7 linked regions of the Cricetulus griseus genome follow. The protein of the gene in region 2 purifies or fractionates together with the protein of the main gene of each other region. This does not show direct contact. Links are inferred from orthologs where the notes say so. Each region holds a gene or a part of one and is shown on either strand. Other genes may lie near its edges.

Region 1 (4,125 bases), on a different chromosome or scaffold from region 2:
ATTAAATGTTTTCCTTTAAGAATTTTCAAAAACTAAAGCCTCCCTCCCTAAGTTCTTCAAAATATCAAGTGAAGGGATCTAAAAGAGCAAGAAAAATGCCAAACTAGAGGGGAACAAGAAAACATGCTTTCGTTAAGGTGATGTAGGGAATGATTGCCTCCACTATAGGAGTCATTGTAGATAAAATATGCACCCCTACAATTCCCTCTGAAGGCAAGATGCCTCTCTTTCAAGGAATCTCTCCATTTACTTGATCCAGGTTTGGTCCATGGATTTAACCTCCCGACTCCCGCGCTCCCCACTGGAGTCCAGCCTCTGCCGCTTGGAGAAGGCCGGCCTATCGCGCGCTTGGAGCTCATTGGCTCTGAGAGACGCCACTCGGGCGGGAAAAGCCCGCCTCCCGCATTCGGATGGCCCAAGGGCCGATCCGTAGGCAGCTATAGGAAGACCCAATTGGCCTATACACTCGTCAGTCAAACGCTCTGGTAGCGCAGCCCAAAAGGACCTGGCAGAATTAAAACATCCCGCCCCCGTTCTCCCATTGGCTGGCCCGACCCATCGCGGCCCCTTCACTGTCGCTCCCCCAAGTCCAGCGGGGCCCATTCATTTCGTACAATAACGAGTCCAATTGGAGCGGGTCCAGGAACTCCCACGGTTAGTCAAGACTCTGCCACTTACCCGGGATCTACAGTGACCACTCACACTAAGGCCTGCGCGGTTCCTCTGTGGTAAAGCTGCACCACAAGCCACCCGCTACCGCCGCCTTCTGCGCAACGCCAGCCGCCCGCCAAAACGGATCCTTTCCCTGCGCCTGCGCAACCAATCCTGGGCCCAGACCTTTTCTCCGCCCAAAACGCCTGCGCAAAGCAGGACGCAGCTCCCGCCAGTACGCAGGCGCCTTAGGTTCACCGCCCTCTCCCGCCCGCCGCCCGCCATTTCACGTGTTCAGTAGGCGAGCGGAACTCCTTAGTGCGCCGGCGTAAACTCGCCATTTTTATTACACATGCGCTCTCCGGGCAGTGGCTGCAAAAGTGGTAGCGAACTACTTTTCCTAACGTGTCGTGTTTTGCCAAGTGAGGTTATAATGTTCGGACGCTGGGAAGTTATGCAAGGCGTTTAAAGACATGGGTACATTCAAATATAAACCACTGGTTAGCTAGTCAATCAACCTGGTTAAAAAAAAAATCCCCCAGAGCGTCGATGACTCCGAAGGGCGGAGACTGCGTAGAACGCCCCAGCAGATGCCATCTCTTAGCAGGGCGGATCCACAGACCTAGAGTGGGCGGGAACAATTCCAGATCTCCAATCAGAGTAAGGCCAGGGCGGAGTCTACCAATGCCGAAAGCGAGGAGGCGGGATAAAAAGGCGAGCCGAAGGTAGGCTGGCGGATACGTTCGTTGACTTACTCCTTTCTGCCTGTTGACGCGGCGGAGGAAGCATCGCTGAAGGCTCTCGTTTCCCTGCCGTCATGTCTAAGTCGGAGGTGAGTTGTGCGCGCTCTGCGGCTTCGTTTCCTTCCATACGCAATGAACAGGACGGGATGCGACCTATTTTTCTGGCTGGCACCCATGCTTTCGGTGTTTGATCGGTCGTTGCCGAGGCCTGCTCACAAAGTGCAGGTCGCCATTTTGTCCTCGTAGTCGCCATGAGGCTGCCGTCCGCTAACCGCTAGTTTCCACACTCGGCTCCTAGTGGCAGAATTCACAGATATGCGACCTTGGGGGTTGTGGCTCTTTTTATTTTCTTTCTTGGCTTTGCCTAACTAACGTCTGCTAAGGCTTCAGTAAGTTTTAATGGCGATTGACCAGTCCAGCCCGTGTCTTTTGTTGCGCGTGCGTATAGAGTAGGGACGCATGCGCTGCATGCTAGTCCTCCCCCCCACGCCCCAACAGCACCTCCTGGCCCAGAGAGGAGCACGTGGTCTTGTGCTGTAATAAAGAACAATAAAAAAGTGCGGCCTATGTTGATGCGTGGAGTTGATCCATTCGCTCAAGTTCCAGCCCCTTAGCTAACGGCTCTCCTTTGATCCGATTCAGTCACCCAAGGAGCCGGAACAGCTGCGGAAGCTCTTCATTGGAGGGCTGAGCTTCGAAACAACCGACGAGAGTCTGAGAAGCCATTTTGAGCAATGGGGAACACTCACCGACTGTGTGGTAAGATTAGAAGGAACAAAAGGCGGGGCTGGTTTAATTTTATTGCTTTAATCATGCCGCACTTCTTACCCAGATGCTTTGTGAAGGTAATTAATGGTATAATTTTAAAAGGATCTTTGTTTGGGGGCCTTATGCTTGAGTCTAAATGGAGTTTTATGCTGGACATGTTCAGAGTTGGAATGGCCTCAGGTCCTGATATCAGGCAATATGTTGATTGAATTAACTCTATAAACAGGTAATGAGAGATCCAAATACGAAGCGATCCAGGGGCTTTGGTTTTGTCACGTACGCTACTGTGGAAGAAGTAGATGCCGCTATGAATGCAAGGCCACACAAGGTGGATGGCAGAGTTGTGGAACCTAAGAGAGCTGTTTCAAGAGAAGTGAGTGTTATTATGCTAATAGTTGGGTTCTCTTTTATCTAGACGCCAGATAGACCCCTAGAGTGCTGGGATTAAAGGCGTGGGCCACCACAGCTGCCAATCATTTGAAATGTACTAATAATGACTGCATCATTTTCCTTTTAGGATTCTCAAAGACCAGGGGCCCACTTAACTGTGAAAAAGATCTTTGTTGGTGGTATTAAAGAGGACACTGAAGAACATCACCTTCGTGATTATTTTGAGCAGTATGGGAAGATTGAAGTGATTGAAATCATGACGGACAGAGGCAGTGGGAAAAAAAGAGGGTTTGCTTTTGTCACCTTTGATGACCATGACTCTGTGGACAAGATTGTTAGTAAGTGTCAGATAATTAGATTTCTCTCCTCCTCCTCCCTCCCCCACAAACTGGGAATATTCTGTAGCTTTGGGTCCTTTCCTGGAAATGAGACCCGCCCTCAAACTCAGATGGCCTGTCTCTGCCTCCTGAATGCTGGGATTTATGGGGTGTTCCACCCCCCAGCCAGATTACATTTTTCTTTTGGGTGGATTCGAGACAGGGTTTCTCTGGCTTTAAAGGCTGTCCTGGAACTAGCTCATGTAGACCAGGCTGGTCTGAAGCTCAGAGATCTGCCTGCCTCTGCCTCCTGAGTGCTGGGATTAAAGGCGTGGGCCACCAACACCCATCGTGCTCAGATTTCTTAATGACTGGGACTCAGTGTGTTTAAAGCCCTAAAGTTAACTTTTTTTTTTTAAGTTCAGAAATACCATACTGTGAATGGCCACAACTGTGAAGTGAGAAAAGCCCTGTCAAAGCAAGAGATGGCCAGTGCTTCATCCAGCCAAAGAGGTATCTCTTGCTTAGTTAGAACTTGCAGAGGGTAGTTGGGTTGTTGCTGCAAGTTGGTCTAATGTAATGATCCAAACATCTCTTAAGGTCGAAGTGGTTCCGGAAACTTTGGTGGTGGTCGTGGAGGTGGTTTTGGCGGCAATGACAACTTTGGTCGAGGGGGAAACTTCAGTGGTCGAGGTGTGTACCTTTTGGATTTCTTAATTGCTTTTGGAACGATGGATAACTGCTAGTCTTTGTTTATAGCATTTAGATTTTACCCAAAACATAAGTTTTCGTTACACAGAGATTAGCATTTGCTTCATTCATATACCTAAAGCTCTGGTTTCTTACAGGTGGCTTCGGTGGTAGCCGTGGTGGTGGTGGATATGGTGGCAGTGGGGATGGCTATAATGGATTTGGTAATGACGGTAAGTTTCTTAAGGAATCCGTAAGTAAAATTTCTAGCAACCTATACCTTTAGACTAGGCTAGTAGACACTAAACCTAGTGCATGACAAAATCAACCAGCCCCGTAATACGCATGCTGTGAGCAGGCCATTAGTCATTACACTTGCATAGATTTTTATTGTTAAATACTTTTGTCTTATTGAGAAGGCTTGTATTCTTGTAGGTGGTTATGGAGGAGGCGGCCCTGGTTACTCTGGAGGAAGCAGAGGCTATGGAAGTGGTGGACAGGGTTATGGAAACCAGGGCAGTGGCTATGGCGGGAGTGGCAGCTATGACAGCTATAACAACGGAGGA
Region 2 (3,464 bases):
AGTTCTTAAGTTCTAACATGGGAGTTTTCTTTTTCTTTTCACCAAAACATTTGTGATTCACAAGTTACTTTTAAATTGCTTGTTTTCTTTTACCAACAAACATTTTCAAACTTTTTTTTTCTCATTTCAGAACACAGATATGTAGAACTCTTCTTGAATTCTACAGCAGGAGCAAGCGGTGGTGCTTACGGTAGCCAAATGCTAGGAGGCATGGGTTTGTGTAAATATCACTTTAGTGTCTTTTTTTAAGCTAACCTTGTATGCCTTTTCTCTCATTTCAGAACACAGATATGTAGAACTCTTCTTGAATTCTACAGCAGGAGCAAGCGGTGGTGCTTATGGTAGCCAAATGATGGGAGGCATGGGCTTGTGTAAATATCGTTAGTTTTTTTAAAAACCAAAACATTTATATCTGTATAAGTAGTTAATAAGCTAAGTTAATATTATAATTAGCATAAGAGTTTGTTACCATAATAATTTTAAGCTACAATAAAAATATTAAGTTAGCAAACAAATTCAGGCAAAGTAAATTTTGTAATTACTATATTAAATTACTAAAATCTTGTAAATAACATAAACCTGCTTAGGATAGCTTACTTAAAGTAGATACAAGTACTTTTGTTTGGGGGAGGGGACTATTGATTGTGTTATAGTATCTGTCTATAAAGTGTAAGTTTAAAATACTTAACAAACATAAGGTTTAAAATTTTTATTTGGTAACATAATTACTTGGGCATAATTAACTAGGTGTTCATTGATACCTGTATAATATCTAAATATATATCAAGCTAAGGGGGAAACCCCACTAAAGTTTCATAAGATGATCAAAAAATGCCTCTACTTAGTGAATCATGTGTACTTAGTCCTCAACCCTTTGGTTTATAAACACTGAGCTAGCTAAAATGATGAATATAAAGGTTAATATGGTCATAGACAGTCTTGTCATAGACAGTAGGCAGGAGACAGTAATTTAAGATCAAGACTGGAAAATCGTAGACATAGAATTACAAGCCCGGTACCACCAGGTACCACATTGGATAAGGAGCAAAGCTCTAATGTTCTCTTAACTTAACAGCAAACCAGTCCAGTTACGGTGGCCCAGCCAGCCAGCAACTGAGTGGTGGTTATGGAGGTGGCTACGGTGGCCAGAGCAGCATGAGTGGATATGGTAAGTTTTTTTTTATATACCTAGAGTAAGTTTTAGGTTGGTTTGTCTAGTTGGGCTCCTTTTGAAAAGAGGAGGGGTATTAATATGGTTTTTATTACAATTCTTATTAGTATAATTTACAGAAAGTCATTGGGAGGAGGGGGATGTATCCTAGTAATTGCAATTTTGGAATATTGTCAAGGCAGAAAACATCTCTGTTCGTTTATTAAAATAATTAGCTTGCTTTTCTGTTGTAGCATTAAATTTTTTGGAGGGTAATTTTTAAATATTAGGCTGGTGGTTGGGTTCAGGACAGTATTTTACTAGTCGGTTAACCTAGGGATGGTTTTATTTATTTTTTTTTCAATTGGTCTAAAGAATGGTGATTTTGGTATTATAGTCTTACCCTACAAAATCCTTTTGCAGACCAAGTTTTACAGGAAAACTCCAGTGATTTTCAATCAAACATTGCATAGGTAAATATTTTCTCAAAAAATAATTTAAATTCCCAATAGCAAAGACTGATAATGTTGTGATAACACTTTTCTATAGCAGTCAGTGACTCTGACTTAACTCCCTGGAGGCTGCCATTTTGGGCACAGTGAGTTGCCTTTAGTCCAACTTTTGTCCTCTCACTTCTTGCCCACCATGAATAGGCAAAGCAAAAGACTTCCCCTGTGTTCCCTATTCATACACATCATTCGATGAACACATAGTACATGTTTATGGTAAATTTTTAAATGCTTTGTTTAGCTTTAAAAACTTGGAAGTAATTTTGCAATTTTTGAAAAACACTAGTTTTCCTTTAAACTTAAAATTTCCACGTTGATCCTGAAGAATCCACTTAAAATGGTAGCACAAGAGTCTGGCAAGTTGGTACTGCAGAGAAAAGGGTTTAATTGAAATTTGTTTGGAGTCGGGATTCCCTTTTCCCAACATGCTTCTCGCCAATTGGACAGCAGCCATTTGCACTCGTATACCTTTTAAACTTTTTCTTGGAATGTTATTTTATTTGATTGGTTATTTGACACTATTCCTAACTTGTCAAACTGATCTCTTTGCAGGTAGCCAAGGAGCAGTGAACAGCAGCTACTACAATAGCGGAAGCCGTGCATCTATGGGCGTGAATGGAATGGGAGGGATGTCTAGCATGTCCAGTATGAGTGGTGGATGGGGAATGTAATTGATTTTGATTGATCACTGACTCTTGGTCATTTTTTTTTTTAATGGAAAAAAAAAAACCTTCAGTTTAACAGTTTTGCAATCCAGCCTTGTGATTTATGTCTACTCTCTTAAGTGAACATTGGCATCACTCAAAGGACTAAGGTTCAATGTTGAATATAGTCACCTAGGATGATGATACAGTGAACTATAACTGTTAAACAATTCCCAGCTTTTCTCTAGTTACTGTAGGATGTGTGTAAGCAGTAAGCGTATTTAGGTTAAAGCAGTTGAATTATGTTAAATGTTGCTCTTATACATACATTACATTGAACACTGTTGATGCATGTTGAAAAGACATGCTTTTTTGTAAAACTCTATAGGAGCTGCGTCTACAATTAAAAGTGAAACATTTGGCATGTTTGTTCTAATTTCATTTGATAAACCTGTAAGGCACGTGAGTTTAAAGCTTTTCTCTTTTTTTTTAAGTTGATGGAGAAATTTTGAGACGCAATACCATTACTTTAGGATTTTTGGTCTTGGTGTTTGTATGAAATTCTGAGGCCTTGATTTAAGTCTTTCATTGTATTGTGATTTCCTTTTAGGTGTATTGCGCTAAGTGAACCTTGTCAAATAAATCTTCCTTTTAAAAGCTACACCTTGTCGTATCTGTGCTTCAGTGTCATGTGATCTTTCTTTGGTGCTTTATTCCTACCTGGGGTCATATTCCATGTCTCTGACTATGATAGAAAGGCTGGGCTACATAGAGAAACTGTGTGTGTTTTGAGACAGGGTCTCTAACTGCCCTGGTTGTCCTGGAACTCCATAGACCAGGCTGGCCTCAACTCAGATCCTCCTGCTCTGCCTCCCTGGTGCTGGGATTAAAGGTGTATATCAACACCACCCTGGGAGAAAAACCTCGAAAAATAAAAACAGAACCAAACAGAAAACCCAATAACTTGGAGACAAGGTCTTACTGTGTAGCCTTGGCTGGTAGAAGTAAAAATTCCTACAAGTAGCCTCTGAACTTCATTTGTAAGATGGTATATCCATATAGACAACAAAAATGAACCTTAAAAAAGTTTAATGCTGGACATGGTGGCACATGCCTTTAATCCAAGCACTAGGAAGGCAGAGCACTAGGTAGGAAAGAGAT
Region 3 (4,082 bases), about 55 Mb from region 2:
GAAGAGGGAACAAATGAAAAGAATTGAGATGAAAATTAGTCCTTACCAGGGAAGTTTGCTTCATAAAAATTCAGAACAGGCTTTGGACAGTTGTGACCCCGAACTGTAATTTCCTTGCTTCTTCTGTATGTATCTACCTCTTGCTGAAAAACAAATGACCCCAGTCTCAAACCTCAGCCAACTGCACTGACAAGTCCCCTACAGCTCAGCAGCAATTTTTATGTACTTAAAACACTCACCTAGGGCAGGGCCTTAGTGGTGCACACCTTTAATCCTAGCACTCGGGAGACAGAGGCAGGCAGATCTCTGAGTTTGAGGCCAGTCTGGTCTCTAGATCGAGTGCCAAGATAGGCTCTAAAGCTACACAGAGAAACCCTGTCTCGAAAACCAAAAAGTCTCACTATGTAGCCCAAATAGGCTGATTGGCTTGCCTGTCTCCCCAGTGATGGGAATTAAAGACTAGTGCCATAACACCTGGCCAATACACATTTTTTTTTTTTTTACCCTCTGGTGCTTCGAGACAGGGCTTCTCTGTATTGTTTGAGCCTGCCTCTATCTCCCGATTACTGGGATTAAAGGCGTGCTCCACCAGCGCCTGGCTCAAATAATTTTTACACTAGATTCAATGGACACATTTGGAAACCACACCACAAATAATAATTTGAATTCGAGACATTTGCAAGGCACCTGTCAGCTTCAATCCAATTGAGTAGAAGCTGTTAGCCAGTAAAAGCCACATTAAATCACTCACTGCGGTGCGTCTTGCCAAATCAGGGTGTTCCTGATAAAAATTCTTCTCAAATTTGGGCAGCTCATCCAGATTCCACTTCTTTTTAACTAGTTTCTCCCCAGGATTTCCAAACTTCTTTCCAGAGAGGGGTCCTGTTCTGCTCCCTCCGAATCTTGGTGCACCAAATCTACAGGGGGGGGGAAGCCACATTGTAAAAAAGTTCTGTTATGTTTGCACTCACATTTTATTTAATGTCTTTTGATATAAAGCCAAAGTGCATTTCTGGAATCCCTCCCAATTGTCAATTCTAGACAGCAACAACTGGCACAATATATTTTTACTATAGTCCCAAGCACACACTATTGATGCCAAACAAGCAGCTTGGATTTACCAGGTCGGCTGCCCAAACATCTGAAGTTCAGATTACAAGGACAGATAACAGCCTGAGGCTCCATATACCCTCCCCACAGGGCTTAGGAATTAGGAGCTGGGCAAGAAGGGAGGAGCTTAACAAGGTTATTTTTGCCACTGTTTCCGACCAAAGGAACTGATTCTTAAAGAAAACGGCGCCGAGCAGGCGATGTGGGCAGGTGAACGAGGAAGGTGTTGCGGGTAGGGCAGCAAGGGGCGAACTCGCCGCGAACCGCAGCTAATCAAGGTAGCAAAATTACATAACGCGAGGGGAAGGAAAAAAAAAAAAAAAGAGGAGGAGCCGGCGACAACCGGGGGAGGAGTCCCGGGCCGGGCTGCGTTCCCGCTGGGGCGGCGCTTCCTTCTTTGTCTCGCATTTCTCTCTGCGCCACATTTTCTCGACGCTGCCATTTTGAGCGCCTCTGCCGGGCGGGGTAACAAAGGCGCCGCCGCCATGTCCGAGGCCGGCATTTTGTGGCCGCCGCTCGGCCACATGGCTCAACCCGCCGACGTCGGCCACCCTCCACGGCACGGATGGCCTCGAAAGCGACCCCTCCGCTCCCCGGTAACACCGGGGGCCCCCAAAACACCCGCCGGAAGGTTGCACCGAACAACGCCTCGGAGCCGCCTCAAAGGCGCGGCGCTTCCTCGTCCTACACTACAACCCTCCTCGGAGATCCCCGCGACAGCCGCGGGGTCGCCACGGGACCCGAGCCTCCCAAACCAAAAAAAAAGCCAGGCGGAGCCCAACTCCTGGGAGCGCCGCCCCTAACGTCTTTTAATCAGCTGGGATAACAACAACAAAAATAAAAACCCTCAAGGCCTCCTTCCTGAAAACCCCAGGGTCGGTCGGTTGGAAACCCGAGCGCCGCCCGCCCGCCCGCTCGCTCGCTCGGCCGGCTGCCCATCCCCCACCCGCTAGCCTGACAGGTCCCTTGTCACACTCACCCTCGATCCCGGCCGCGGTCTCGGTCGCTGGAGTAACTCGACATGGCGTCAATGGTTGCGGTGAGCGGGAAAGACCCAGTGAAGGACAACCCAGTCGCGACGAGTCGCTGAGAGGAGGCCTCGGCGACGGCGAAGCCTTTGCGGGGGCGTCACCGGCGGAGGGACGGGCGGTGACGAAGCCGGAGCTGTAAACCCGAGGGCCGAGGGAAATGAATGAGGTGCCGGCTGCGTCCCGGCGGCCGCTTTTATAGTCTGGACCGCCTCCTCGCCGCAGAGGATGCTGGGAGCCGCTCTATGACCTCATCGCCCCACCCCCCTCCCCCCGGCGGGAGGCCTCAACGCCCGCTGGCGTTCGGGAATCCGCCATGTCCGCGCCCCTCCCCCCGCGGGCGCTCCCTCACAGGCGCCCGTTTATGACCCCCTTCCCGGCGGGGTGACACCGCTAGGGCGCCTCGCCCCGCACTCGTGTGGCTTCCCCGCGGCCAGCCGGCCATTACAATGGCCCGCACCAGCCAGCCAGCCCGTCGTCTCCACCTGAAGAAGATGTTTACGTCTCCACAGGCTCCCCCACGCCCATGACCGAAGAAGCCGGGGAGGTGGAGCCTGCCGTTGTCACGTGGTTGCACCTCAGGGCTAGGCGGGCCGCACTACTTCTCCGCTTGGCCTCGGCGGAGGAATACCTTCCCGCAGACTCACCGGAAGCGCGGCTCCGAGGCCCCGGGGAGAGCGGCCGGGCTGCTGGGTGACCCGGCTGCCTGGCCGGCCGAGCTGAGAGCCCTCAAGCGGGATCGGGCCCGCGGGGAATGGTATCTAGAGCCCGCAAACCGCCGCCGAAGCGCGTGCCGCGAAAGGAAGTGCTTCTCCGATGACCAATCAGCGGCGAGAAGCCGTTTTAACGTCCCGCCCTCTTCCAGCCCTCCTTCCCGGCTCTCTGGTTCCTACCCCCTCCTCCCCGGCTCGGCCCCCCCGCCCCGCCCGGCCCGGCCCGGCCCTTGCAGGACACCGTCGCCAGCGCTCGCTCCCTCGCTCGCTCGCTCTCGTCTCGGAGTCCGGCCGCGACCTTTCTTGGCAGTATGGCCAGCTCAGAGGCTGGTGAGTCTCGGCCTGGAGCCCTAGTGTTTGCGCCCTGCGGCATCCAGCTGGCCGCGGGCCGACCCGAACCGTGTCTGGGCTTCTGGAGAGGCTCGTGACTGTCGCACAGTAGTGGCCATCGCGGGGGAGTGGGCGGGCGCCTCTGAATTTAGGGTCTAGTCGTGGAACGGACAATTGGGATGTGGCCGAGGGGTTCGGTTCGCTGGCGAGGCTGGGACACCCGCATCCTGTCTTTACAGAGCAGTAAAGGACCCTTCTCTGGGACATTAGACACAGGCTGTGTCTCCTCTTTTGCTTTGTAGGGACTAAGGCGGAATGTTCTTCTGTATTGATTTTTTTTTTTTTTTGAGGCATCGCACTCATAAGAGCTTTTGATGTCCTCTAGAGTAAACGGCTTTGTCTAATACTGCCTTTGAAAAGCCAATTGATTCGGTTGTCTAGGACGCCTTGCCTCCTCCCCAGGACAGCATACAAAATGGTTGTCATGGCTTGGTTCTAAAGTGCCTTGCCTTTAATAACCAATCATTTTAGGATACAGGTGTTTCAAGCTTTCGGATTATTGCTGAAACCCTTAAACTTGGTCTTGCACTATATAGGGGAGGGCAAGAACCGTTTTTTAAAAAATGGAGAACTTGAGCAGTATTAATGTGCTAGTTCAGAGCTAGCTCTGTGTTTGTGTTTTCCTCATATTTACCTCCTTATACAGCAAATACAATAAAAAGAAAACAATTGCATTAGTGTTGGTGTGGTCGTTATTCCAGTTTCTAATAGCCTCAATTAATCACTTGTTTGGGCACCAAGAGATCTTAACTTACACAAGATAATTGCATAAAACTATTGGGAATTTGGAGCCACCTAGGTCAGATTCAGGCAACTTCAGATTATCATTTACAACTATCTT
Region 4 (4,239 bases), on a different chromosome or scaffold from region 2:
TTTCACTTCTGTCTTTTGCATTAGGGAAGACCTAAACCTCAAGGACCACTAATCAAGGCCACCACCTCTCCAGACCACAGCCCAACACATGGTGGACTCTCATCCTCCAGGAGACAGGGCACACACCTACCCGCAGGCCTGTCATCTCACCTCCTCCCAGCTGACCTGCCCTCCCCCAGGCCTTTGCTGAGACCACCTCCACGTCTTCCTATCCTTTTCTACCTAACCAAAAGCAAAGACAGGGGAGGGAGAAGATGGTGGCGCGAGGAAAAGCACCCCCCGCCGCCTCACTCTTCCCCATTCCAGAGACGCAAAGCCACACCACCTCTCCTTGAGCCCATAGGCAAAACCCGCAACACTGAAAGATTTCTTTTTCAGATGCTTTTAGACACAAATAACTTCCCCGCTCCCTTCCGCCCCTCACCTTCACGAAAGCAATCGGGGTTGTGGTACCTTCGATATCTAACAGGATAACTGTGACTTCGGCGGGCACCGAAACCACGACCATTTCCCTGCCGGATGCTACCACGGGCTCGGCCGCGCTGGTAAAGAGGACAACACAGCCTGTGCCCCCAGGACGCCTCGGGCTCCCGAAGCCCAGCAACAATCTGAGAACTGGCAGCAGCGAGCGGCCAGAGAGGTGGGCACAGGCCGGCTCGGGGTACCCGCGACTGCAGAGGAAGCCGCCCAAGACGCTGCACCCAAAGACCAGGCGAGCGGCGCAGGCCCAGACCACGTGGGCAGAGGGGGCGGTGCTCTGGGTTCCGAGGGGGGCGGGGAAAGCAGGGAGCGCGCTCCTATTGGTCACCGGCGAGCCGCGAACCCGATCCGTCAAAATGGGCCTCGCGTGGGCGGGAACAAAGAAGCGAACACCAGAGCCCGGATCCCGGAGCGCGGGCGCCAGTCCTCCGCAGCCTGGAGGAGGGAGCCGGCGCGAGCGGCCCGGGCCACGTGCAGACGGGAGCCCCGTGAGTGGCGCGCCGGGGACGTGAGTGCCCCTTGCCTTCTCCGGCACCCGACCCCCTTCCCCGCCCACCGCGTGCGCTTTGGCACAGCTTCAGTCCTCCGAGCAGGCCCCGCCCTCCGCCGCGGCCTCAGCCAGCCCGGGAGGCCGGCCGCACGCATCGGGCTGCGGCGATCCTGCAGCCGAGCCCCCCCCCCCCGCCCCCCGAGCAGACAGCGCCCCGAGGCGACGGCGGAAAAGCCGCAGTCCCCGCCAGAACAGAGAGGGTCGTCGCTTTGCGTCCGCTTTCTGGTTCGGCTGGCTTCAGCCCGCGCAAGGACAGAGCACGCGTGCGCCGGGCGAGCTTGCGGGCGCGCTGCAGCATCAGCAAGCAGCCCCGGGTGCACGCCGCCTTCTTCCCGGAGCAGCCAGGCGGTCATAGCCGCCACCGCCGCAGCTCCGCATTGGGGGACTGAGGGCGCGGCGGACTGGACGCGGTGACACAAAAGGCTCTCAAGGCAAGAGGGACTGTGGCCCTGCTACGGCGCCGTCGGGATTGCCTGCGCTTCGGTCCTGCGCGTCTGACTTCTCCTGCTCTCTCAGGCCGACCCCCAGCGCGACCTCGCTCCTCGCCCGGAGCACCGCGATGGAGGTCCCGCCCCGGCTTTCCCATGTGCAGCCGCAGCCGCCGCCATTGTTCCCCTCCGCTCCCGCTACTTTAGCCTCCCGTAGCCTCTCCCATTGGCGACCACGGGCTCCCCGGCAGCTCGCCCCGCTCCTCCCTTCGCTCGCTTCCAGCTCCTCCCGGCAGGGGGCGCGCCGGACCCAGCGCCACGTCACCGCCCAGCAGCCCTCCCGATTGGCGGGCGGGGCGGCTATAAAGGGAGGGCGCAGGCGGCGGCCGGATCTCTTCCGCCGCCATTTTAAATCCGGCTCCATACAACGCTCCGCCGCCGCCACCGCCGCCGCCGGGACCCGCACTGCGCGCCAGCACCCCCTCGCCGACGGCTCCGCCAGCATGGAGGACATGAACGAGTACAGCAACATAGAGGAGTTCGCAGAGGGATCCAAGATCAACGCGAGCAAGAACCAGCAGGATGACGGGTACCGCACGCTCCGCTCCTCCCCTCCCCCAGAGCCCCGCGCGCGCCCCGCGCCCCCTCCGGAGCTGCGCGCGCTGCCCCCACTCTTTCCCCGAGCCGATTCTCCGCGTGCCCGCTGGACCCCAGTAGCTTCCCCACTAGTGGAAAGTAAGATGGGGGGGTGACTCGAGAGGCCCGCCGCGGGTGGGGGAAGGGAGGAGGGGTTGGGGAAGGAAGGCGGCGCCGTCGGTGTCCCGAGTGCGCAGGCGCCGCGGGGGGGAGGGGCCGGGCTCGGTGCGCCACATGCTGCAGCTGCCGCCGCCTCTTCATTGTGTGTCTTGTGTTGTTATTGTTGCTGTTGCTGGGGCGACTTTTTCCGGGGGACGTTTGGGAAACTTGGTTTGGGCACCAGTAGCCGGCTGGTACCAAGAGTTCCGTAGGTAGCAAGTTGACTTGAGAGCTATGGATGAAAGTTCACTTAAGTTGTCGGGGAGGGAGGGGGCGGATTCGGTGTTCAAGTTGTGTTTTTGCAAACCAAAGTAGTCGGAGCCGAATCTCTACCAGACTTCGTTGGCCTTTTATAAAGTTTTGTGTTTGCACTGTAGACAGCAACCTGTCTGCTGGTTTGTTTGAGCAAGTTTTTGTTTGAGCTGGTTTTTGTGGTCTGTTAGTGTTTGTAATCAAAGCGGATTGCATGCACCTACTGTATTGTTTAATTACAGGGTTGAAGTAATCACTAAGTTACTGTTAAGTCTCTTTTTTTTTTAAATGACTTTATTTCTAGTAAAATGTTTATTGGAGGCTTGAGCTGGGATACAAGCAAGAAAGATCTGACTGAGTATTTGTCTCGATTTGGGGAAGTTGTAGACTGCACAATTAAGACAGATCCAGTCACTGGAAGATCAAGAGGATTTGGATTTGTGCTTTTCAAAGATGCTGCTAGTGTGGATAAGGTATGGGTGTGTTTTGCACTGTGCTTTTGTGTTGCTTGCAAATTGCTATAGGCTTCTAAGTTCCTGTCTAACTTGTCTTCTAGGTTTTGGAACTGAAGGAACACAAACTGGATGGCAAATTGATAGACCCCAAAAGGGCCAAAGCTTTAAAGGGAAAAGAACCCCCTAAAAAGGTTTTTGTGGGTGGATTGAGTCCAGACACTTCAGAAGAACAAATTAAGGAATACTTTGGAGCCTTTGGAGAGGTGGGCTGTGTTTGTATAAATGTGTTTTTGAAATGCTCAAGTTTGTGTAGGGTTCATTAGTATTTCACAAGATGGGCCTGAATTACTTCTTGGGTGCCTTATGGTTTTGCATCTTAATTGCTACTTTCTGTGCCATGGTGGAAACCAGTATCTAATCTGGTCTAGCCAAAGCCCAAGGGATTAAAGTGGTGCAAGTTTTACCAACTGGTGGCCTCTCTGGGGTAGAAGACACTGTAAAAGAATATAACTCGACTTTTTAGACAGTAGTGGTCTGTAGAGTGTGTTTGTGAAGTCTGTACACTTGCACTAATGGGTGGTTTTGTTTGTTTTGAATGCACCTGGTTGCAGATAGAGAATATTGAGCTCCCCATGGATACAAAAACAAATGAAAGAAGAGGATTCTGTTTTATCACATACACAGACGAAGAGCCAGTAAAGAAATTATTAGAAAGCAGATACCATCAAATAGGTTCTGGGAAGGTAAATAGATTGAATTCCATTAAGAGAAGTGTGTATGTGGAAACCCTGTTTGAAAAGAAAGCCACTTTTGTGTTCAGAGCTTAGAACATGCAAAAATTCTGTTTGTTTTTAGTGTGAAATCAAAGTTGCACAACCCAAAGAGGTATACAGGCAGCAACAGCAACAACAAAAAGGTGGCAGAGGTGGAGCGGCTGGTGGAAGAGGTGGTACGAGGGGACGTGGAAGAGGTGAGACTTGACGGGGAAATAGTGGTTTTTAAACTGTAACAGTAAGCTGCTAGGTAAAATGGCCCATAGGAGAACACAGCTAGATGGAAACTTAAAAATGACCCCACATGGTAAAGGCTGGTTCGTGGGGAGGTTTTTGTTTTGTTTTTAGTAAGTACAGTGTAGGGGACAAGAATGAATCATTTTGTGTTAGGATCGGGAAAGTCCAAAGTGGTTTCCTAACAATCATTGTGCATTGTTTCAGGTCAGGGCCAAAACTGGAACCAAGGATTTAATAACTATTATGATCAAGGATATGGAAATTATAAT
Region 5 (4,141 bases), on a different chromosome or scaffold from region 2:
TCTGGAACTCACTTTATAGACAGGCTGGCCTTGAACTCACAGACCCTCTGTCTTCCAAGTGCTAGGATTAAAAGTGAGTGCCACTACTGCCAGGCTTCTAAGCTTCTTTTGAGCCATCTCTCTAGCCCCCCGAACAGGGTTTAAAATTGTACAGTTCTGTAGGTAGGGAAGTCCAACGTTGTTGGGCACAAGGGGTAATGGCTTTTTTGCAATGTCACCCTATGGTGGGAGTGCAAAAGATGCTGAGAAAATCAGAGTCAGACATCAAACTCAAAGCCTGAAGCCCTTCCATAGTTAGCATTAGCCCATTGAGGGTGGAGTCCTAGTGCCTGACACACCTCCCACTAAAGGCCACACCCCTCACCACTGTCACAGAGGCCATCAAGTCCGCCACACCTGCATTTTTGCAGAAGCACTTTAAAAAACGCGGGGTAGATGAACAGTAATTACATTTTGGTTTATCGGCTTTGAGAAACTTGATCTCCAGGTACATTTGGAAGCAAATCTCTTGACCCTCACTGAGGTGGCAGTTGGGGTAGGACCGGAGTGACAGGTGAGAGAGAGGTTTATGAATAAGAAGAATTAGTCTCTTTGGGGGAATGACTGACTACTTTGCCCCCTGCATGGCTTTCAGTCATAGATCCAGTGCCCTACCTACTCTGTGCTCCAAACTCCGGAGTTCCTGACTTCTGTTAACATGGCTCTTGAGTCAGGTCCACTTTATCCACTTTATTCTGTGTGGAAAGGAGCCAGGGAGGGGAACAAGTTTTCCCGATCGTTCCAAGGGATGCTTTTCTACCGAAAAATCTCCAGCCAAACGAGTCAAATCATCCTTCAGCTGTGTTTTGACCGGAGCCAAGACGACGTAGCGCGGAGCCCAGCGCGTGGCGAAGGGTGTGTTTGGGACCTGCCAGCCAGGCGTGAGGGAGGGTTCGAGATAAGCAACTCCCGCGCCGGGTGGCAGCGAGCGCCATTGCCGAGCGTGGCCGCTCGCACCCGAGGGGGGCGGGGCTCCGGAGGCGGCCACGCGGCGCGAGGCCTAGATTTTCCAGCCTCGTAACCGTGGAAGACGAAGAGGGAGGAGCTTCGGCCACGCACGGCCTGCAGCCCCGCAGCCTCGCCACTACCAGGGGCTCCCACCAACAGACCCCTTTGTGTGCATGCCCCCGCCCCGGAGGCGCCTCAGCCAGTGGCGCTGAGAACCCTCATTGGCTCAGCCCGACGGCCACACCGATTGGCTCGCGGAGCCACCGGCATGGGGGCCGCTTTCCCTCTCTCTGATTGGTCCGCCGAGCTGTCTATCAGACAGCCTCAGGAGCCGATTGCTCGGCCGCACGGAGTCCCTGGAAGCAGTTCCGGGAGACCCCGCGTGCTGCCGGGATCGCGTCTCTGTGCTTGAAGGGGGGGAGGGGGTGGCGCGCGCGCCATTTCTGGTCGTTTTCAAAGCGCCTCGCGCTGATTCTCACGGGCCAGGCCGCCGGCCCCCCGCTCTGCCCTGGTGAGTCTCGCGCTGGCCCGTGGGGGGAGGGGCCGGGAGTCCCGGTCTGACCGGACTCGGCCCGGCCCACGCTCGGCGCCCGGGTCTGCAGTTTGGGTCTTGGCTCCGAGGCCCGAGGGTGGGGGTGGGGATGGGCCGGGGGCGGCTTCTGCTCGGGCCGGCCGCGCAGCCGCGGGCCTGAGTCCTGCCGCGGCGCCTCCTCCCTCGCTCATCATCCTCAGCCCCTCCGGCGCCCGGTCCCTCGGTCCGCCGTCCTCCCCGCGGCCTGCCGGTCTCGCGGCGCTTTTCCCGCCTCCGCCCGCCGGTGGCGGCGGCCGGGCCGGGCGAAGGGTTCCAGGCGTCCCCCCGGCCCCGGCGCTTCCCCCTAGGCCTGCGGTCAGGCCTGGCTCGCACATCGCCGGCCGGCGCGGGTGGGATGTGTTGATAACCGGGTCGCGCCCGAGGGGGTGGGGTGAGCCGAGGGCGGGGTGCAAATCCCAGGGTTACCTGAGCCGGGAGCAAACTTTGTGGGAGTCGGAGCCGAGGGGCCGAGGTATGGGGGGGTGCCTCCCACCCGATCCTCATCCTGCATGCTTGGAGCCGAGATTTGAAGGAAAAAATGACTACTTCAGGCCGTGACACTTGGTCGAGCGGCGCCTGAGCTAGGTAATTCGGAGAATGTCACAGGCGCTCCACATTGGAAAAGCTCTTTTTCTTAACACCGTAGTAACCATGTGGCCAGAATTTCAAGACGAAAGCCCAGGGGTTCTTGAAAGGTTCAATCCTTTCTTGTTACCTGTTTGAGATTTTTTTCCCCCCACCTGCCCTTCAATGGCAGAATGCATGTGTCAGGGAATCTCAGTCGTAGTGATTAAGGGCTTGGCACCACCGAGCTTTGAGATAACGGTTAGCTTTCGTTAGTTCTTTTAAAGCCCTTCTTAAAATTTTGCTTTAGAGATGCTGGCCCAAAGTCAGGGAGGATCTAGTACTGACTTCCCAAGTCTCCCAGTGGCCCTTATATATTTTATTTAAATGGCTTTATTTTGTAATTTTCTTTCTTTTTTTTTTTTTTTTTTGCAAAAAAAAAAAAAGTTCAGGTCAAAGGATTCCAGATACGTTAGTATATTTGCTGCATCCAGAAATATGGTTTGGCTGAGTGGCATTGTGTTGAATTGACATGAGTTTTAAATGGTCTCATAACATAAAAGTCTTTTAAAGGAGCACTTTGTATTCGGCTTGAAGAGGTGTTATGTTTTGTTTTGCCTTGTTCTGAAGGTTTTATTTTCTGGAATCTATTTTACCTTTTTTTTTTGTTAAAGTTGACAAGATGGAAATTGTAAAACAATTTCAATATTGATGATAGTCATAAGTATCTGTCTTGTGCTTAATACATAACTTGTCATTTTGCTTCACGCATACTTTTAAGAAAACACTTCACCTTAACAGATGTTCATTGAACTCCTTTAATTTGCCTCTCCTGTAACATAGTAGTCACAGGTGTAGTGCTGTAAGGTCTTGTGGTAGAATTTTTCAGTTTTGGTGATCTTACTGTAGTGGTTGGGAGGGGATGGGAAAACACAACTATATGTTCACAAAAAGATTGGGGAATTTAGAATGCTGCTTTATAGTACTAGGTTGTATTAATCAGTAAATATGCTCATCTTATGTGCTAATAGTTTCTTGTGCCAGTTTTGGATGTTTCCATTTTTTGCTAGCTCATCAGAATCTGACCTTTGCCCATTCAGACTTAACTACAGTCCGCGTCTCTAGAGACATTAGAGGGCTAGGGAGAGTTTTGTGATGATGGGAAGTCATGCTGTTTAGGTCATTTTCAGAGTAACACTGTTCACATTTTCCTTTCTACTGTTGCCTCCCTGTCCTCTGTCTTTCTCCTCTCGTTAACTTCTACTAAATATCAGTGGATGTTCAAATGAAGAGCTGTTTTATGTCAGGAAACAGCACCTGGTGCATTTGCATAGTGTTTGATGAGTAATCTGGAAGTGATTGGTTATTTTAGGCTCTAGTGCTTTTAGGTGAGTTGTATTTTCTTAGCTGGCTATCTTGAGTTTCTCTAAGAAAAGCAGGCATTTTCTTGAGACCCACCTTCATCATGCCTTTATTTCAGTATGTGCCTCAGTATCTTTATTGTGCCACCAGTTATTCTTCATCGCATTATAATTTCACCACAAACACACACTTTAATTCCCTGACTTTGAGGTAGTATAGACTGGCCTTGTATGCTTTTGTGATTTACTGTCTCTTCAGGGAATTGGTCCATTTCAGCATTATATACAGGCTGAACATACAAAATGATTTTGGTAGGTTAATCTGAGAAATATGACTGAAGTTTATGCCAATTAGATAGTGTTTGTAAAGTTTTTTGGAAGTTTTCCATTCTTCAGTATTTTTTGCAACTTTTTTTCACTGACAAGAAAAATTCAATTCATACTCCTGATTTTTTTTAAGCATGAAGCAACCTCAACTATAGCTCACTTATTTTTATGTAAACTTTAAACAATGGCTTAGCTTTTAAAGTTGGTCATTTTTTCTTTTAAATCTGTGAATGGGAATAGCAAATTAATCATAGCACAAAACTAATGTGAAAGTTGTGTTTTTTTAAGTGAGTTGGAGAGAACCCAAGCCACCAGCTCGTTGAACTGGATA
Region 6 (3,500 bases), on a different chromosome or scaffold from region 2:
ACTTTCATAATGCTGTAACCCTTAATATAGTTCCTCATGTTGTGTTGACCCCTCCCCAATAACATTTTTGTTTCTACTTCATCACTGTAATTTTGCTGCTGTTTTGCTTATCTGATAATGTGATCCCTGTGGAGGTTGAAACCCATCTAGATTAACTTTTCTTGGCTGGGCGGTGGTTGCCCACGCCGTTAATCCCAACACTTGGGAGGCAGAGGCAGGCAGATCAGGTTGGTCTATAAGGCCTCCAAAGGCCACAGAGAAACCCTGTCTCTGGAAACCCCACTACCCCCAAAAAAACATTTATTCCCCAAATATCCTCTTATTCCCTTCTCAGTCTATCATTTTAATTAATTGCATGGCAACAAGGGTTTCACTTTGGTTTTCCAAACAAAAAAATAACTTTGTGGTTTTTTTTACTTAAACTTACAGTTCAGAAATACCACACTATTAATGGGCATAATTGTGAAGTGAAAAAGGCCCTTTCTAAACAAGAGATGCAGTCTGCTGGATCACAGAGAGGTAAGTAGGATCATATGCACATAAATAATAGACATGAACAGTAGTTGAAAGATTTTGAAGTTTTTACTTCAACATGTGTTACAGGTCGTGGAGGTGGATCTGGCAACTTTATGGGTCGTGGTGGAAACTTTGGAGGTGGTGGAGGTAATTTTGGTCGTGGTGGAAACTTTGGTGGAAGAGGTAAGGTGCTTGTTTTTAGTATAATGCATCATAAATTTAGTAGTCAGTTGAAGGTATCATTTTAATTCAAACTTTGATTTTCCTCAGGAGGCTATGGTGGTGGAGGTGGTGGCAGCAGAGGTAGTTATGGAGGTGGTGATGGTGGATATAATGGATTTGGAGGTGATGGTGAGTATTTAAAGACTGAGTTTTGTCTTTTAATTTCTGCATTGCCAGGAATCCACATAGCCTTTTGCTAGTTAGAAAACTTAAACATAGATATGATAGCGTTTTAACTGTTTTAAAAGTGTCATACCTTCCAGTCCTAAAACTTTGAATGGATTGAAGTATAGTTCATAACTAGAACCACAGAAGAGGAAGCCTCTTCCCAAGGATGGAAGTAAATATTAACTTGTTATCTTCTGGCAATAAGTTTTATTTGTATCAGCAGTTGAGCTAAAATTGCTTTGTGTAAGGCTATATTGTCATGAGTGAAAATAAAAACTGACTTGTTTGAAAGAACAAAAACACTCATCTTAAGTTTTACCCATCAAGATTGCTTGGCTCTGACTAGATTTGGAATGTTAAATCTGTTCAGTGGTTCATTGCCAGTGATGGTGTAGTATTTGGCCTTCCCTGAACATTTGTTTCTGTGTCGCTTTCTTTTCAGGTGGCAACTATGGTGGTGGTCCTGGTTACAGTAGTAGAGGAGGCTATGGTGGTGGTGGACCAGGATATGGAAACCAAGGTGGTGGATATGGTGGTGGTGGAGGAGGATATGATGGTTACAATGAAGGAGGAAATTTTGGTGGAGGTAAGTTAACAGATGTTTGAAGTAAATACAAATTAGCATTTAAATTAGTTCTCTGCAGTGCTTGGAAATGTTTAAAGGATACACTGGCAAAGTTTTAAGTGTTAAATAGCTATATTAAAACACATCTCATCCATGTAAACTTACCATGTCCATTTTTAAGTTGTGGAAAAATGGGCACTGCATACATTTCACAACTAGAAAACAATTTTTAAGGTATGTATACAGGGAGATCTTGAGTTCTAGATCACTGTGTCTTAATCCCAGCACTCAGGAGTCAGAGGCAAGTGGAGCCTGGCCTACAAACCTAGTTCTAGGACAGCCTCCAAAGAGAAACTATCTTGAAAAACAAAAACAAAAAACCCAAAGCCAAAATAAAATAAAGGTTTCAGTGTAGGATTCAATGCTGTTAAGGCATATTTACAGGTTGTTTTTTTGTTTGTTTTTGTTTTGGAGACAGGGTTTCTCTGTGTCTTTGGAGGCTGTCCTGGAACTAGTTCCTGTAGACCAGGCTGGTCTCGAACTCACAGAGATCCACCTGCCTCCTGAGTGCTGGGATTAAGGCATGCACCACCAACGCCCCGCTTTTTTCTTTTTTCTTTTTTTTTTATATTTACAGTATTTTACAAACCTCATCACTATTCCAGAAATATTTTCATCATTCCAAATAGGACTTTATTATAGCCCAGGTAGCTTAAAATATGTATTAGACTCTGGCTTTGAACCTTCTTGGATCCATTTCCCAACCACACCAGCAAATTTGATTTTTAAAAATGTTTCTGCAGTGTTAAAATGTGTATTGTAAATTGGTAAAAAGGATACTTACTAATTATAATTAGTAAATTACAAAGGAAGTTTTTAAAATGTGGTTTGTTGCTGGGTTTTTCCTTAACTCTTGGATACTTTGAAACTTGGTAAATGGGATGTGTAAGTTGTTTGAATAGGGTAGTATATCAGTTCATGGAATGCTTTGAGTGTTACTGTATTATGTATCATGCTACATACTATAGCATGGGTTATGCACAATTATTAAGGTAATATGATCTTTGTTAGGGAACTGTTGAACCTAACTCATAAATGTGCTTTTTGATGGTCTAAATTATGTGGTAGGAGTGTGTATGTAGGATATAATGGCAAAGGAAAAAAAATAGATGTTCCTCAGGCTGAAGTGTGGAAATATAGTCTTCTTGATTGATGTGTTTCACTTACTATGCCCTTTTTTTTTTTTTTTTTTTTTTTGGATTTGTTTATTAAATCACTTGGGCTTATGGTAATGGAGTTTAGTACCTAAGGTCAATGTTAAATCCTTGCATTAAAATAATTATAATACTTGGCTTCCATGAGTTGAAATAAAGGGGTAAATAATTATTTTGGAAAACTATAAATAAATATCTTTGTGATTTCAGGTAACTATGGTGGTGGTGGGAACTATAATGACTTTGGAAATTATAGTGGACAACAGCAATCAAATTATGGACCCATGAAAGGGGGCAGTTTTGGTGGAAGAAGCTCAGGCAGTCCCTATGGTGGTAAGTTCTTTTTAATCAGAATTCTTAAGAGCATTCTTGGTTAATATTTTAGGTGTATTTAGAACTGTATTGTTATTTTTCAGGTGGCTATGGATCTGGTGGTGGAAGTGGTGGATATGGTAGCAGAAGGTTTTAAAAATACAGCAGAAAAGGGTAGGTATCTTAAATTTTTTTTAAATGATAAAAGAATATATGGAACTTGACTGAGTGTAATAATTTTTTTATCCTGTATTATTCAACAGGCTACAGTTCTTAGCAGGAGAGAGAGCGAGGAGTTGTCAGGAAAGCTGCAGGTTACTTTGAGACAGTCGTCCTAAATGCATTAGAGGAACTGTAAAATCTGCCACAGGAGGAACGATGATCCATAGTCAGAAAAGAAAAGTTACTGCAGCTTAAACAGGAAACCCTTCTTGTTCAGGACTGTCATAGCCACAGTTTGCAAAAAGTGCAGCTATTGATTAATGCAATGTAGTGTCAATTAG
Region 7 (2,739 bases), on a different chromosome or scaffold from region 2:
AAATTCCCAGCCCCGATACAAATGAAGAAGAAAAATACCTTATCATCTGCAAAGGTAACAAAGGCAAAAGCCCTGAATGGTTTGGGAATGAAGACATCTACCACTTCTCCATACTGGCAGAAGAACTGCTGAAGCTCTTCAGCAGTCATGTCTTCTGTACAACGCCCAACAAACACCTTTCTGCTTCTCAAAGGCTCATCTGGGCTTTGCTGGTCAAAAGGAAGAGTAGAAAAAAAATACATAAAGGCATACTGTCACTGCCCCCCTCCCTTTGCTTTTTGAGACAAGGTCTCACTGTCTATCTCTGGATGGCCTGTGCCTGAGTACTGAGATTAAAAGGTGTGGGCCCTTGTAATCTTGAACCAAGTACATGTCTGGTGCCCTTAAAGGTCTGAAGAAGGGATTGGGTCACTCGGAATTATAGTGTTGTGTGTTGCCATATGGGTGCTGAAAACTGAACCAGTCCTTCTCCAAAAACAATTACTAATTAACTTTTCTTCCTCATTTCCTTCGGATTTCTAAAACAGGCTCTCCCGTTTTAAGGATGGCCTTAAGCTTGATATGTGAGGACAATCTGGAACTCCTGATCCTGTTACTACCTCCCATGTGCTAGAATTACAGGAATGTAATACCAAGAGACCATTATGTCACATTTGCGATAGAGGTTGATGCTAGCCATCTTTCTTAGTCATTCTCCACCTTCCTTATGAGGCTGGGTCTCACTGAACTCGTATTTGGCTAACTAGACTGGTAGCCAGGCAAACTCCATGAATTAGCCTGCCTCCCGCCTCCAGGGGTGGGATTACAAGTATATCTTACCACACCTAGCTGTTAAACACAGGACCCCAGCACGTAGAAGGCAGAGGCAGGCTGATCTGTGTTGAGCTTGAGGCCAGTCTGGTGTACAGAGTGATAGCTAGGACCATGCAGAGAACCCTGTCTCAAAATAAAGATGTGTGTTCCCGCCAGGCATTGGTAGCACACACCTTTAATCCTAGCACTCAGGAGACAGAGGCAGGCGGATCACTGTTGAGTTTGAGGCCACCCTGGCCTACTGAGCAAGTTCCAGGACAACCTCCAAAGCAATACAGAGAAATCCTGTCCCGAAAAACAAAGTATACTTTGACCCCAAAAGAAATGTTCCAAATAATTAAAGTCTCATTTGCTTGTTTGGCGTAAGTTTGGGCTGGGGTTATAGGCTCAGTGGTCAAGCACTCGACACTACTAGGTTTAATCAGGGTACTCACATCTCTCTGAGTTCCAGCCTGGTCTACAGAGTGAGTTCCAGGACAGCCTCCAAAGCTATAGAGAAACCCTGTCTCGAAAACTCAGAAGAAAAAACAAAACTCCCTAAGATTAAGCTGAGTGGTAGTAGCCCACACCTTTAATCTCAGCACCTGGAAAGCAGAGGCAGGTAGGTGGATACCGAGTTTGAGGCCATCCAAGGCTACAGAGACACCTGCCTTGGAAAACTTTTCCTGCCGTCAATGTTTCCAAATGCACTTAATTTAAGGTCTTTTAAAAGAAAAAAAATCACCCAAGCATACAGGAAAAGAGCAAAATACCTTAGAATTGGGGAGTTTACAGTCACACCATCGCCCATCTATCATATGTCGCTGTGACATCACTTTCACTTGGGTTTCATATTCCGTAAATCGAACAAAGCCAAACCCCTTTGAATGACCAGTTTTAAGATCTTTCTTGACCTAAGAAAAGAAATTTACTCTAATACCACATATATACCAAATCAGAGTTCACATAGAAACTTGAATGGCTTCAACTGAACGAAAAAGCACATTAAAGTTTAATGTTTAATAACGTTAGTCCAAGGCAAGAATCAATAGGGAATTGCATCATTAACAGGGAATGAATGACTCACGACAGAACTTAACAATGTTTTACAATGAGCACAAATATAATAGTTCTAATATGACCTAGTTCCTTTAAACCAGTAATTTTCAACTTTCCTATTGTTTTCACCCTTTAATACAGTTCCCACTGTTATGGTGACTCTCCAATCATAAAATTTTTGGTGTTACTTCCTAATAAGGATCGATACTGTTATGACCCATATATACAGAATAAACAAAAGGAAAGCTGTTACCCAGAATCAAGTTTACCTGAACCATAAGAACCTCTCCAAAAGTACTGAAATAGTCTTTAAGATCTTGTTCTGTTGTTTTCCAAGGGAGACCCAACACTATTAGATCAGATGTTTTCTGAACTGCTCTTTTCACTTTCACGGCCGAGGAAGCATCTGTCTCATCCATTTTCCTTTTGTTATCTAAACAAAGCGAGCATAAACCCATATTTAGCAGTTCTTTAAAGATAGGTGGAGCTCTGTGAGTTCGAGGCCAGTCTGGTCTGCAAGCTAGTTCCAGGACAGCCAGGGTTATACCCCGTCTCGAATGACCACCCCATTCTAGTTTTATATTATCTTATTGAAAATTGATCTGTATACACATTTGTAAGCCGTTTCTGGACTTCTGCCCTGTTAGGCTGCAAACCACTGCAATTGCCCTTTTAAGTGTGTTCTAGAGGTAGACAGGATGTCTGTCTTGCTCTGCAAGTGTCTTTACCAAATCAGCTATCTCCCTGGCCCAGGATTTCAATAATGTAGGATTATAAAATCAACTGCATGTCCTCCTCAAAACCTGTATCTAAATCAATGCAATTTTACTTCCTTTTAATTTTGTGGCATGGAATTTATCTGACTGATCGAGGGTATCAGACACCTTG

The links.
Region 1: the proteins of Hnrnph1 (region 2) and Hnrnpa1 purify together in Homo sapiens (affinity purification with mass spectrometry; 7 studies listed by BioGRID and IntAct, with this or other methods). This does not show direct contact. The link is inferred for Cricetulus griseus from reciprocal best matches to the Homo sapiens genes HNRNPH1 and HNRNPA1.
Region 3: the proteins of Hnrnph1 (region 2) and Ddx5 purify together in Homo sapiens (affinity purification with mass spectrometry; 4 studies listed by BioGRID and IntAct, with this or other methods). This does not show direct contact. The link is inferred for Cricetulus griseus from reciprocal best matches to the Homo sapiens genes HNRNPH1 and DDX5.
Region 4: the proteins of Hnrnph1 (region 2) and Hnrnpdl fractionate together in Homo sapiens (co-fractionation; 3 studies listed by BioGRID and IntAct, with this or other methods). This does not show direct contact. The link is inferred for Cricetulus griseus from reciprocal best matches to the Homo sapiens genes HNRNPH1 and HNRNPDL.
Region 5: the proteins of Hnrnph1 (region 2) and Hnrnpr fractionate together in Homo sapiens (co-fractionation; 3 studies listed by BioGRID and IntAct, with this or other methods). This does not show direct contact. The link is inferred for Cricetulus griseus from reciprocal best matches to the Homo sapiens genes HNRNPH1 and HNRNPR.
Region 6: the proteins of Hnrnph1 (region 2) and Hnrnpa3 fractionate together in Homo sapiens (co-fractionation; 3 studies listed by BioGRID and IntAct, with this or other methods). This does not show direct contact. The link is inferred for Cricetulus griseus from reciprocal best matches to the Homo sapiens genes HNRNPH1 and HNRNPA3.
Region 7: the proteins of Hnrnph1 (region 2) and Tardbp purify together in Homo sapiens (affinity purification with western blotting; 3 studies listed by BioGRID and IntAct, with this or other methods). This does not show direct contact. The link is inferred for Cricetulus griseus from reciprocal best matches to the Homo sapiens genes HNRNPH1 and TARDBP.

What each region holds. Positions count from the first base shown.
Region 1 is NC_048595.1:399,611,796-399,615,920, forward strand, and holds the start of Hnrnpa1 (heterogeneous nuclear ribonucleoprotein A1), read left to right. Parts: upstream 1-1,325; 5' UTR 1,326-1,468; coding exon 1,469-1,483; intron 1,484-2,036; coding exon 2,037-2,153; intron 2,154-2,388; coding exon 2,389-2,535; intron 2,536-2,679; coding exon 2,680-2,890; intron 2,891-3,289; coding exon 3,290-3,382; intron 3,383-3,469; coding exon 3,470-3,562; intron 3,563-3,717; coding exon 3,718-3,792; intron 3,793-3,994; coding exon 3,995-4,125. UniProt on the Homo sapiens protein: Involved in the packaging of pre-mRNA into hnRNP particles, transport of poly(A) mRNA from the nucleus to the cytoplasm and modulation of splice site selection.
Region 2 is NC_048600.1:64,841,096-64,844,559, forward strand, and holds the end of Hnrnph1 (heterogeneous nuclear ribonucleoprotein H), read left to right. Parts: intron 1-130; coding exon 131-190; coding exon of another isoform or gene 191-220; intron 221-281; coding exon 282-371; intron 372-1,075; coding exon 1,076-1,168; intron 1,169-1,573; coding exon of another isoform or gene 1,574-1,623; intron 1,624-2,211; coding exon 2,212-2,330; 3' UTR 2,331-2,964; downstream 2,965-3,464. UniProt on the Homo sapiens protein: This protein is a component of the heterogeneous nuclear ribonucleoprotein (hnRNP) complexes which provide the substrate for the processing events that pre-mRNAs undergo before becoming functional, translatable mRNAs in the cytoplasm.
Region 3 is NC_048600.1:119,732,270-119,736,351, forward strand, and holds the start of Ddx5 (probable ATP-dependent RNA helicase DDX5), read right to left. Parts: upstream 2,801-4,082; 5' UTR 2,786-2,800; intron 2,640-2,785; exon of another isoform or gene 2,624-2,639; intron 2,318-2,623; exon of another isoform or gene 2,275-2,317; 5' UTR 2,134-2,274; coding exon 2,090-2,133; intron 918-2,089; coding exon 752-917; intron 144-751; coding exon 47-143; intron 1-46. Other genes in the region: Cep95 (centrosomal protein of 95 kDa), read left to right, coding at 3,163-3,181. UniProt on the Homo sapiens protein: Involved in the alternative regulation of pre-mRNA splicing; its RNA helicase activity is necessary for increasing tau exon 10 inclusion and occurs in a RBM4-dependent manner. Binds to the tau pre-mRNA in the stem-loop region downstream of exon 10.
Region 4 is NW_023276807.1:162,144,690-162,148,928, reverse strand, and holds the start of Hnrnpdl (heterogeneous nuclear ribonucleoprotein D-like), read left to right. Parts: upstream 1-1,439; 5' UTR 1,440-1,589; coding exon 1,590-2,047; intron 2,048-2,809; coding exon 2,810-2,978; intron 2,979-3,061; coding exon 3,062-3,223; intron 3,224-3,571; coding exon 3,572-3,703; intron 3,704-3,815; coding exon 3,816-3,930; intron 3,931-4,174; coding exon 4,175-4,239. Other genes in the region: Enoph1 (enolase-phosphatase E1), read right to left, coding at 454-508. UniProt on the Homo sapiens protein: Acts as a transcriptional regulator. Promotes transcription repression. Promotes transcription activation in differentiated myotubes. Binds to double- and single-stranded DNA sequences. Binds to the transcription suppressor CATR sequence of the COX5B promoter.
Region 5 is NC_048595.1:16,990,615-16,994,755, reverse strand, and holds the start of Hnrnpr (heterogeneous nuclear ribonucleoprotein R), read left to right. Parts: upstream 1-1,341; 5' UTR 1,342-1,498; intron 1,499-2,018; exon of another isoform or gene 2,019-2,143; intron 2,144-4,141. UniProt on the Homo sapiens protein: Component of ribonucleosomes, which are complexes of at least 20 other different heterogeneous nuclear ribonucleoproteins (hnRNP). hnRNP play an important role in processing of precursor mRNA in the nucleus.
Region 6 is NC_048599.1:99,406,211-99,409,710, reverse strand, and holds part of Hnrnpa3 (heterogeneous nuclear ribonucleoprotein A3), read left to right. Parts: intron 1-429; coding exon 430-519; intron 520-603; coding exon 604-699; intron 700-786; coding exon 787-867; intron 868-1,348; coding exon 1,349-1,492; intron 1,493-2,895; coding exon 2,896-3,018; intron 3,019-3,101; coding exon 3,102-3,154; 3' UTR 3,155-3,171; intron 3,172-3,260; exon of another isoform or gene 3,261-3,500. UniProt on the Homo sapiens protein: Plays a role in cytoplasmic trafficking of RNA. Binds to the cis-acting response element, A2RE. May be involved in pre-mRNA splicing.
Region 7 is NC_048595.1:7,784,997-7,787,735, reverse strand, and holds part of Tardbp (TAR DNA-binding protein 43), read right to left. Parts: intron 2,285-2,739; coding exon 2,121-2,284; intron 1,707-2,120; coding exon 1,566-1,706; intron 210-1,565; coding exon 39-209; intron 1-38. UniProt on the Homo sapiens protein: RNA-binding protein that is involved in various steps of RNA biogenesis and processing.